Oryzias latipes: one gene and its partner. The protein of the gene in region 2 interacts with the protein of the main gene of each other region in a pairwise test. Links are inferred from orthologs where the notes say so. Each region holds a gene or a part of one and is shown on either strand. Other genes may lie near its edges. The genes, in order: washc1 and exoc8.

Region 1 (4,486 bases), on a different chromosome or scaffold from region 2:
AGGCAAAAGAAGGCAAGATCAAACGACAAAGAGAAGAAAGACTGTCAGGAAATGAAAATGCAGATGTCCGTGTGCGTGAGGATGAGAAGGTGAAATTTTGAATCGTTTCTCTTTCCGAAAAAATGATTCTGTGTAAGGAAAGAGGATGCCACGACAAGCTACTCCCTACTTCTCAGGTCGTTTCCCTCAATTCTTTGCTCTTCCTCTCTCTGCTGAGTGCTGCTGATGAGAAGAGGCAAATCCAGATGTGACAGGAGGGAGGGGAGCGCTTCTAGACGGATGCGTCATTACGCATTCAGGAGAAAAAGCAAGGACAAGGACGCACCCTATGGATACAAATCAGTACTGCATTCTGTTTTGTTTGAATTATTTTTCACTTAACTGGTTACACAAATGATCTAAAAATAGACTATTTTTTATTAGGATATTTTTTAAACAATCATATCAGGGGAATTACAACAAAACGAGGTTTCACTGTCATTTTCTAACGGACTGTTGTGTCTTGAAGGAGATCTGTCAACACTAAGCCCTGATGTCCCTTCATAGTTTTTCTTTATGCATAGTTTTTGTAAATTCCACACCAATCAGACTTATTAACTGAAGTGAATTTGGAGGTTCAATCTACAGTGTTAATGGTCATTAATGAATAAAGTGGGACATTTAATGGGGGATTAGTAACTTCTTTTTAAATTCACATTGGTTTCTTTGTTGTTTTTCATTTATTTTGTCGTTACAATTTACTTTTTATGTCAGAATATTTAATAAATATGCACTGCTAGATTATAGATACTTTATTAACTTTCCTTCTGCTTGCAGTTAAACTATTATGTCAAGGTTGTTTGATCTGAATATGGCTGATAATTTAAATAAAAAAAATAAGAAACACGTTAGCTAAAAGTTTCATCTTTGCACTAAAAATAGCTTTTAATCCATGGTTTGGTAAAGGTTTACTAATATAAACCAAAAATGTGTTAAAGTTAGCAGATGTAGAATAGAATAGAGAGAAAAGAATAGAATAATAGAAATCTAAATAAAACACAAAAAAAAGCAAGTAAAACTTCAAACTAGAAAAACCTCAAAGATTCTGCTCTCCGAAAAAAGTAATTTATGCATAAAGCCTTTGCTGGTGGCAAAGGCTTTATGCATAAAATGAATAAATAAAAAAATAAAATAATAAATAAATAAATAAATAAATAACAAAATAAATCAATAAATAAATACATAAATAAATGTAAGTTCGTCAGTTGCCTAAATATGTAATACACCTACACGAATTAGACATTTTTAAGCAATTTAGATTTTTTCTAAATACGTAATTCATGCTAAGCACTGTAAACGAGTAGACATACCCCCCCCCCACACACACACACACTTTTTTTAAACTACATTTTAAAAATTACAAAAAATTCTGGTATGACTATCTGCACTAGCTGCCTTTACTAAAATGTTAGTCTTGAGGGGGCAAAACTGAACCACTGTGCAAGATGAACTTTTAGTTAAAAAGTTTCCGACACACCGTGAATGCACCATTTAACGCAATGGCGTGGTCACGTGTTGCTCAGATGCGGAAGTGTAAACTGTTTTGCTAAATAAAAAGCTACAGCTATCACCGACAGTCTAGATTGTAATTATTCTTTTAATGAAACTCAACTGTAAATCAAACCAATGGTCAGGTAAGAGGCTAGGTTGTATGACGACGTGGTAATAACGGGTGATGTTCTCAGTTTTTGTGTCGCTCTTTTCCTAATCTAATAATTAGTTTATTTCTTTTTAGGATCATCATGTACTTGCAAATGGTGTTCACAAGGTTTCAGCTAGCCCTACAAAACACCCAAAAAAATAACGCGACGTGTTTGGCAATAAACGGTTGTTGCAACATCATTTCAGCGCCGCTGACTGTCATGTGAGAGTCAAATGAGGATTTATGAATTTTATTTTTTCTTTCAACGAGATGTTAAAAAAAGTCAAATTCCATTTTAGTCCTAAAAAGAATAAAGGCCGTTCACCTGGAACTAGTATAAAGGTTTTGTCCAGGTTATATTTAACATACATTTCTTTGTTAACTCAACTTTAATTGTTTTTATTTAAATTGTTAATATTTCTTTGTGCTAATAAGAGGCCTTAATGCATTCTTTCCTTTGTATCCTAAATTTTACTATTGAATATATAAAGTTAGTTGAAATAGAATAGAATAGAATAGTATAGAGCAACTAACAGTGCTATGGTGTTGCTGTTGTTTTGCAGGATGACACACAGACACTGCCTGGAAGCCCAGGTGTACTCGGTCCCTCTGGTGCAGCCGGACCTGAGGCGGGAAGAGGCTGTCAATCAGATCGCTGATGCACTTCTGTATCTAGAGGCAATTTCCACCGACATTTTTAGAAGGCAAGCCAAAAAACTAACTTAAAAAAAGGGGAAAATCTTTCAAAAGTATGTCAGTTTTGCATACTAATGGACACTAACTTCCCAAAAATTGGTTTTTAATTTCAAAAGTGACTCATTACCGTTACAATATTTGCTGCCACCAACATTGATAGTATTTATAAAAGCAGTACTGAGTGATAAAGCTCTTAAAAAAACAACAACTGTCTGTTGACCTGTTTATTTATTTTTTACCTTGGGTCAAGACATAACTTGAGTTAATGTTTTTGTTATATAATGTCCAAAACAACACATCAATTATTACAATGCATTTTTTTGTCTAACATAAATGGCTAAACCCTTTTAGCACTTAAACAATAATTGGTAAGGATTTCAAATAACTGCATAACCTTCATGCTGGTCCTGCTTGTAGGGTTTCAGAGAGCGTGGAGAAAAACCGCCACCAGCTGCAGAGCGTCTCTGACCGGATCCGACTCGCTCAAGCCAGGGTTGATAAGATTAAAGGCAGTAAGAAGGCCACCAAGGTAACAAAGCCTCATCTTTTTAGATGAAAACTTCTACATTGGAACCATGGTGTGTGACAATTGCAGAAGCAGGTCAAATTGTGTTGCAGGTCTTCTCCAGTGCCAAGTACCCGGCCCCAGAACAGCTCCAGGAATATACATCCATCTTTGCAGGGGCGGCAGACCCTTCCTCACAAAGCTGCTCCAGGCGCAGGATTCAGAGTAAACTTCGGCCTTTTGATGAGAAGGTTCTGCAGGTGAGATGAATGCACAAAAATGTAGATTTCGGTTCAGGTTTTGGCATCTTCTCCCATCATGTGACTGATAAATAGCATCTGCAGTTTCAAGTTACAAGCGTTGCATTGATTTTTGTGGTGCTGCATTCAGAGAAGCAGTCTAACTCACTTAAACTCCGCTGTATCCTGCTGGTTGGAGATTTCCCGTTGTGTTTTTCGCCAGCATGCTTCATGCTATCGTTGGCAAAGAGCAGATCTCACTGTCTCCAGCCGCTGCTGTAACTCTGGCATCTGGAGGGATGTGCGTTTAAGATAAGCCTGAGGGAGAATACCTAATGAGTTTTGAGTAACCATCAAAAGAATCAAAAGTCCTGGTTCCAAGAACGTCAAGTTGTCTTTCCCACATTGAACAAAGCCTGTTTCATCTTCAGGAAGACTTTAAATGCTCTCCATTCAGATACTTGAGGAGGCATTAGCCTCGTTTCCACTGAGCGGTACGACACGGTTTGGAATGGTTTATTCAATTCAGGTGAGTGTTTCCACTCAAAGTTGGACCGTCACGGTGCATTCTGGGTGTAGATTGCCTGCATTGCTTTGCGTCATAGTAGTACGACTACTGCAAAAGCGAAGCTATCAACAACAACAATGGAGTTCATCCAGCATATACAAAGAATTTAACGCTGTTTGACAAAAGATTCCGTTTGGAAACATTGGCGCTGGTTTGGCGCTCTCTTTTATCATAACGACCTTCTGCCAATCAACGAGTTTCTTCGTTTGATGATGGTAGCTCCGCCCTAACCGTTCTATTTCATTTCTGTATGGACCTACAACCCACGGGGTCCCAAAAATTACGGTTCTGTACGGTTTAATGGATCCGTTTTAAAATGGAAATGCTCAACGAGGCTTTAGTGTTCAGCGAGGTCCGTCAAATACTAACAATGTGCAAAATTGAATCAGAACGTAAAAAGAGAGATGTTGGAACCCAACAGGTGTGTACTTGCTTTTTTATAGCAAACAGAAGCTGGTAATAATTCCTACATTTACTTTCAACTTAACTCCTCGAGATTCTTGAATCCCTTTAAACCCTAAATCAGTCTTTTTTTTTTAAAACATTAATGGACACATTTTTTGTTTTTCAACTAGAACGAACTTGTTGATATTGAAAATTATCAGGATATAAAACCTATTTACACTTTAAGATCCACTAGTCTGTGAATGCAAATAAATCCAGCTTTCATTTTCATTGCTTCACTTATCCTCTGCTGCTAAAAATAATTAGGCTTTCTGAGAAAACCCATTCCTGATGTTTCAATATTACAATAACATTTATTGTTTGCCACTGGATGAAAACTTCAGTTATAGTAT
Region 2 (4,392 bases):
TCCTGCGCACGGTGCTGTTCAAGTGATAAGTGCGCACTCCTTCTGTGTAGCCTGACTGTTATGCTAACTCCACACTGGGCATGCATGGCGCTGAACGCGGGTTCTTGAACGCACTTTCAGCATACGTGCTCATACTGGACTGTCGCTACCCGATAGTAGCGCACAGTTATAAGATGCTTCCTGCGAAATGTTGAAGCGGTGCCAATCTTGCTCCAGGCTTTTTCTTTCACAGCTCTATTTTGATAAAGGAAGGCCTTGGTGTCATAGAATTTTGGCCGGGCACAAACCGCAATTAGTATTTCACCTCCAAGATTCAGTGTTTTGAAAAGGATGCTACTCATACCTCACTACCAAATCAGAGTCCTTGATTGGTCAAAGTACAACTAGTTAAACTTTCAGCACACGTTCGATTGCGTGTTTTGTACGTAGAGCCTGAAAACTGACCTAAAAACCTGCGTAGAGACGCGTCAACGAGAGAGCTTTGAACGCGGAGGCCCAAAACGGGCTTTTACGTGAGCACTTACATAGAATTTTCATTGAAAGTGGTCACTCAAACACGCATTTCCAAGCCTGGTGTTAACGTAGCATTAGAAATTTGATGATAATGGTGTAGTTTGTGTGAGTGTCCTGTCCTACGGACACTTACATGTCAGCATTTGCTTGGAGTCAGTAAGGAACCAGTACTCACTCATTAACCCTTGTGCTGTCTTAGATGACCCCACCCTTACATTGACATGTTCTCCCTACCATGACAAAGGTGGATAAAGGTGGAAAGATTTCATGTAATCCATGGACACCAGTGAAGATCACAAATCATTGAAGAAAAAAGGTTCAGCGAACTGTCTAGTGGGTCTAGATGACCCAACTCCCAATGTTAAAGTGCCTTGGATAGCACAAGGGTTAATAACGACTACAGTGTGGCAGTTTGGGCGGTGTTCGGCAACATCACCCGTATGTTATCAGTGCGTGTAACTTATGTTAGCCTTACAAATACTTCACAATATGCTTACCATACACAATGGTAGGTTCCATTTTCAAGGGAACTGCAAGACACACCTGTGCTCCTGTTAAGATGCGCCTTAAACTGGCCGGTCTACTTTCTACTCCCCTCCACAGACCTGGACAACCCAAAAACCCAGGGCACCTGTACAGGTCAGCCCCCGTACAGGTCCATGTGGCTAAAGCTTTAGTGACTCTGAATTGACCTTTAGGTGTGAATGTGTGAACTTGTTTGTCTCTGTGTGGCCCTGTGATGGAAGGCGAACTGTCCAGGGCGAACCCCGCCTTCACTGAAGAGTTGTTGGTTTAGCTCCAGTGACCCCATTACCCCAAACAGGAGTAAAGCAGGATTACACTGGTTGGTCCCTTAAAATGTTGACCTTCAAAACCTAAAATTAAATTAAAAGAAACTTTTTTTCAACATCACTTCCCCGCCTGACAGATCCAGAAGAGTGGGCTTTGAACACTTTTTTTTTTTTTTGCAAAACAAACGACATTGATGCTCCTAAATAAAAGTTTGAATTAAAAATGTTGCCTTTTTTTTGGCTTTAACGGACTAAAGAAAATGTTTTGGAAGTTAGTCAAACATCATCTCTTCTCTGTTTCTCTGGAAATTAAGAAAAGAACCAAACCAGGACCTAGTCTGATGAGCTGGGACACGGCACGTCGGGTCGCTTTAGGTCCACCACGGAGTGACCGATCCGGAGACAGCTCGAACACCAGCACCTCAGTCAGCTGTCGCACCCGCTCGTCCACCTTGGACCTCAACTCCTTGACCTTCTGAGTGGAGGGCTGGTCCTTCAGGTACTCGTTCAGTTTGTCCAGCAGGTCCACGGCTCCCTCAAAGTCCCTCTGGGCAATGCACACGTCCAGGTCCTCGGGGAGCTCCTGAATCCACTCGATACCAAGTTCTGCGCTTTCCTCTGCATCTGCTGGGTCCTCGTCCTCCAGGTCGAAAGGGTTGGTGGACACCTCAGATCTGATGGGGGACGTGGGAGCCTCCTCTTCCTTCTTGTGTCTGTCCTTAGACACCTTGTTCTTTTTGGTTTCATCAAGGATCTCCAGCCACTCCTTCTTGACCTTGCTGTTCTCTGCCTGGAAGATGCGGCTGTCCGGGAACATGAGGATCTTGAACATGTCCTTCATGGGGGGATTGTCCTTGACGTTGACCACGGCGAAGCTCTCCAGGTCGTACAGGTCGCTGTATTTGTACTTCACGGTGCCTCTGCGGTTGGGCAGCCAGGTGGCGATCAGCAGACAGTCGTTCATGAGGAAAGCATGGACCTTCTGGATGGGGGACATGTTGTCCACGTCAAACTCAAAAAGGTCTCCGTTGTAGACTAGGTGCCTCCCCGGGATGTCCATGATGTTCTTGGCTCCTTCGACTTTCTCCAGCAGAGAGGTGAGCGCCCTCTGCTTCACCTCCTCCGTCTCTTTGGGGAAAGCAGCCTGCATCTCCTTGGAGGTCTCATCCTTGTCTGTGGACAGCAAGGCCTGGGTGATGCTCTCCATGATGCTCTTCTGCTCCGTCAGGATGTGGCTCAGCTGGTACATCTCGCTCTCCAGGTAGGAAATCTCTTTGGCGGTTTCAATGAACTGCCTGTAGTTCTTATAGACATTTTTCTTCAAATTCTGGGCCGTTTCGTCGGCCAGGTTTTGGATTTTTTGCCGATGCTCCTGCAGATCCCTGTCGCCGTCGGACTGCTGTGACAGCTGTTTGACGTACGTTTGCGGATCGAAATTGGGAGATTCGAGAAGTTTCCGCAGCCGGTTCCCTGTTTCCGACATCTTTAGCTGTGTTTGCAATTATTTACGAACGCGAAATATTAGTAAAATGGCTATGAAATGTACGAACAAGACGAGTGCATCGAAGCTCCTTTTACATCCGCTTTCACTCCAACAGGAAGCTGTAAGCAGCAACACCCGAACGTCACGTGATCAGAAAAAGTTTAAAAATAAAATCGTAAAAAAATTATTTGATTATCTTTAGGCATAAGATAATATAAATTTTTGATTATGATTCGTAAACTTTATTCAATTGTAACAATTGAATAATTTAATTTAAATATCAGATATATGTTTACTAAAGTTCCCAGAACCCATCGCTAATATTTGTGCTAGCGATGCTTGCAATCTTTACCGGAAGTGGTAACCAAAGCATACAAAATAATTACATTGAATTATAAAAAAAAGATCACCGTCAAAGCTACCCAAATTAAACTATTGAATTTTTCTTTTTACTATATATATTGATATACTGAGCATAAAAAAGTGCCCATGTTATATATATATCACAGTGTTTTAGTTTAGACAATTAATTTTAAAACATATCATTATAATAGACAAAAATGATTAAGTAACCATATTTGGGACCAAAACGCCTTTAATAACTCATTTTTTTAATTTGAAAAACAATCACGTACGGGACTTCGCGGAACTTGACAGCAGGTTAGACCAAAAGACAGAGTAAAATTGCATTGATGCAAAAACAATTTCCTTAAAAGCTACGCGGCTTTCAATTTCAATTAATAATATACTAAGAAAACACATACGTGCCTACGTTTAGATATTCAAAATACTTTGAACAAAAACTTTAATATGTTTTATTGTGAAAAAAATAAAATAAAACATTACCGGAAGGTTTGTGGAAGATGACAGGAAGTTGTTGGCTCCAGCTTCTTACTCTTTTTTATTAAATTGTTTCCGTTTTTATGTTTAAGCGTCCGTTTTGCGAAAAAATGATGACATAAATTCGTTTTTTTCTTTATGAGTTTACACTGCTAAATGTAGTACAACTGGCGCACTGATTGGTTTTTAGAAGTTCGGGTTAGCCAAAGCTAAATGGCAAAATAGCAGCAGTGATGGACGAGGACTTTCTGCTCGCCGTTCAGCTACAGGAGCAGTTTGACCATGAATATGAATCTTCACTGGTTTCATCTCTAAGTTTTAACGAAGGGGAGTTCGGAAACAACAGCAAAAAGCGGAAAGTGGAGCTTGCCGGTGGGGCCAGGGATAGAAAGCCAACTTCCGGCGTTGAGCGGCCGCTAAGCATCGTGGATGATTCCTGGGAGATGCTGGATCCCAGCCCTGATGTTAGAGCCATGTTTTTGGAGTTCAATGACATGTTCTTCTGGGGCAAACTCAGCGGAGTGGAGGTCAAGTGGAGTCCCAGGATGACCCTGTGAGTCTATTCTGACTTTGGACATTTGGTTTAAGCTGTTTCGGAGCCTAAACTGACCTCACCGATTTAGATCAAAACTAAAACACAATGGATTTTTAATGGAAACGTTGAAACAGGGAAATAAAAGCTTTAGAGAAAGCAAAAAATTTTTTTTTCTCAAATAAAGTGGACAGATTTTGAAGAAAAAGCTCAATAAGTCAAAGTCAGCTTTA

Evidence for each region.
Region 1: the proteins of exoc8 (region 2) and washc1 interact in binary tests that used the Homo sapiens proteins (3 or more experiments, as listed by UniProt). The link is inferred for Oryzias latipes from reciprocal best matches to the Homo sapiens genes EXOC8 and WASHC1.

Annotation. Positions count from the first base shown.
Region 1 is NC_019864.2:19,195,916-19,200,401, forward strand, and holds the start of washc1 (WASH complex subunit 1), read left to right. Parts: upstream 1-1,534; 5' UTR 1,535-1,665; coding exon 1,666-1,673; intron 1,674-2,244; coding exon 2,245-2,385; intron 2,386-2,794; coding exon 2,795-2,906; intron 2,907-2,995; coding exon 2,996-3,142; intron 3,143-4,486. UniProt on the Homo sapiens protein: Acts as a component of the WASH core complex that functions as a nucleation-promoting factor (NPF) at the surface of endosomes, where it recruits and activates the Arp2/3 complex to induce actin polymerization, playing a key role in the fission of tubules that serve as transport intermediates during endosome sorting.
Region 2 is NC_019882.2:17,525,476-17,529,867, forward strand, and holds the start of exoc8 (exocyst complex component 8), read right to left. Parts: upstream 2,915-4,392; 5' UTR 2,788-2,914; coding exon 1,638-2,787; intron 1-1,637. Other genes in the region: sprtn (sprT-like domain-containing protein Spartan), read left to right, coding at 3,861-4,180. UniProt on the Homo sapiens protein: Component of the exocyst complex involved in the docking of exocytic vesicles with fusion sites on the plasma membrane.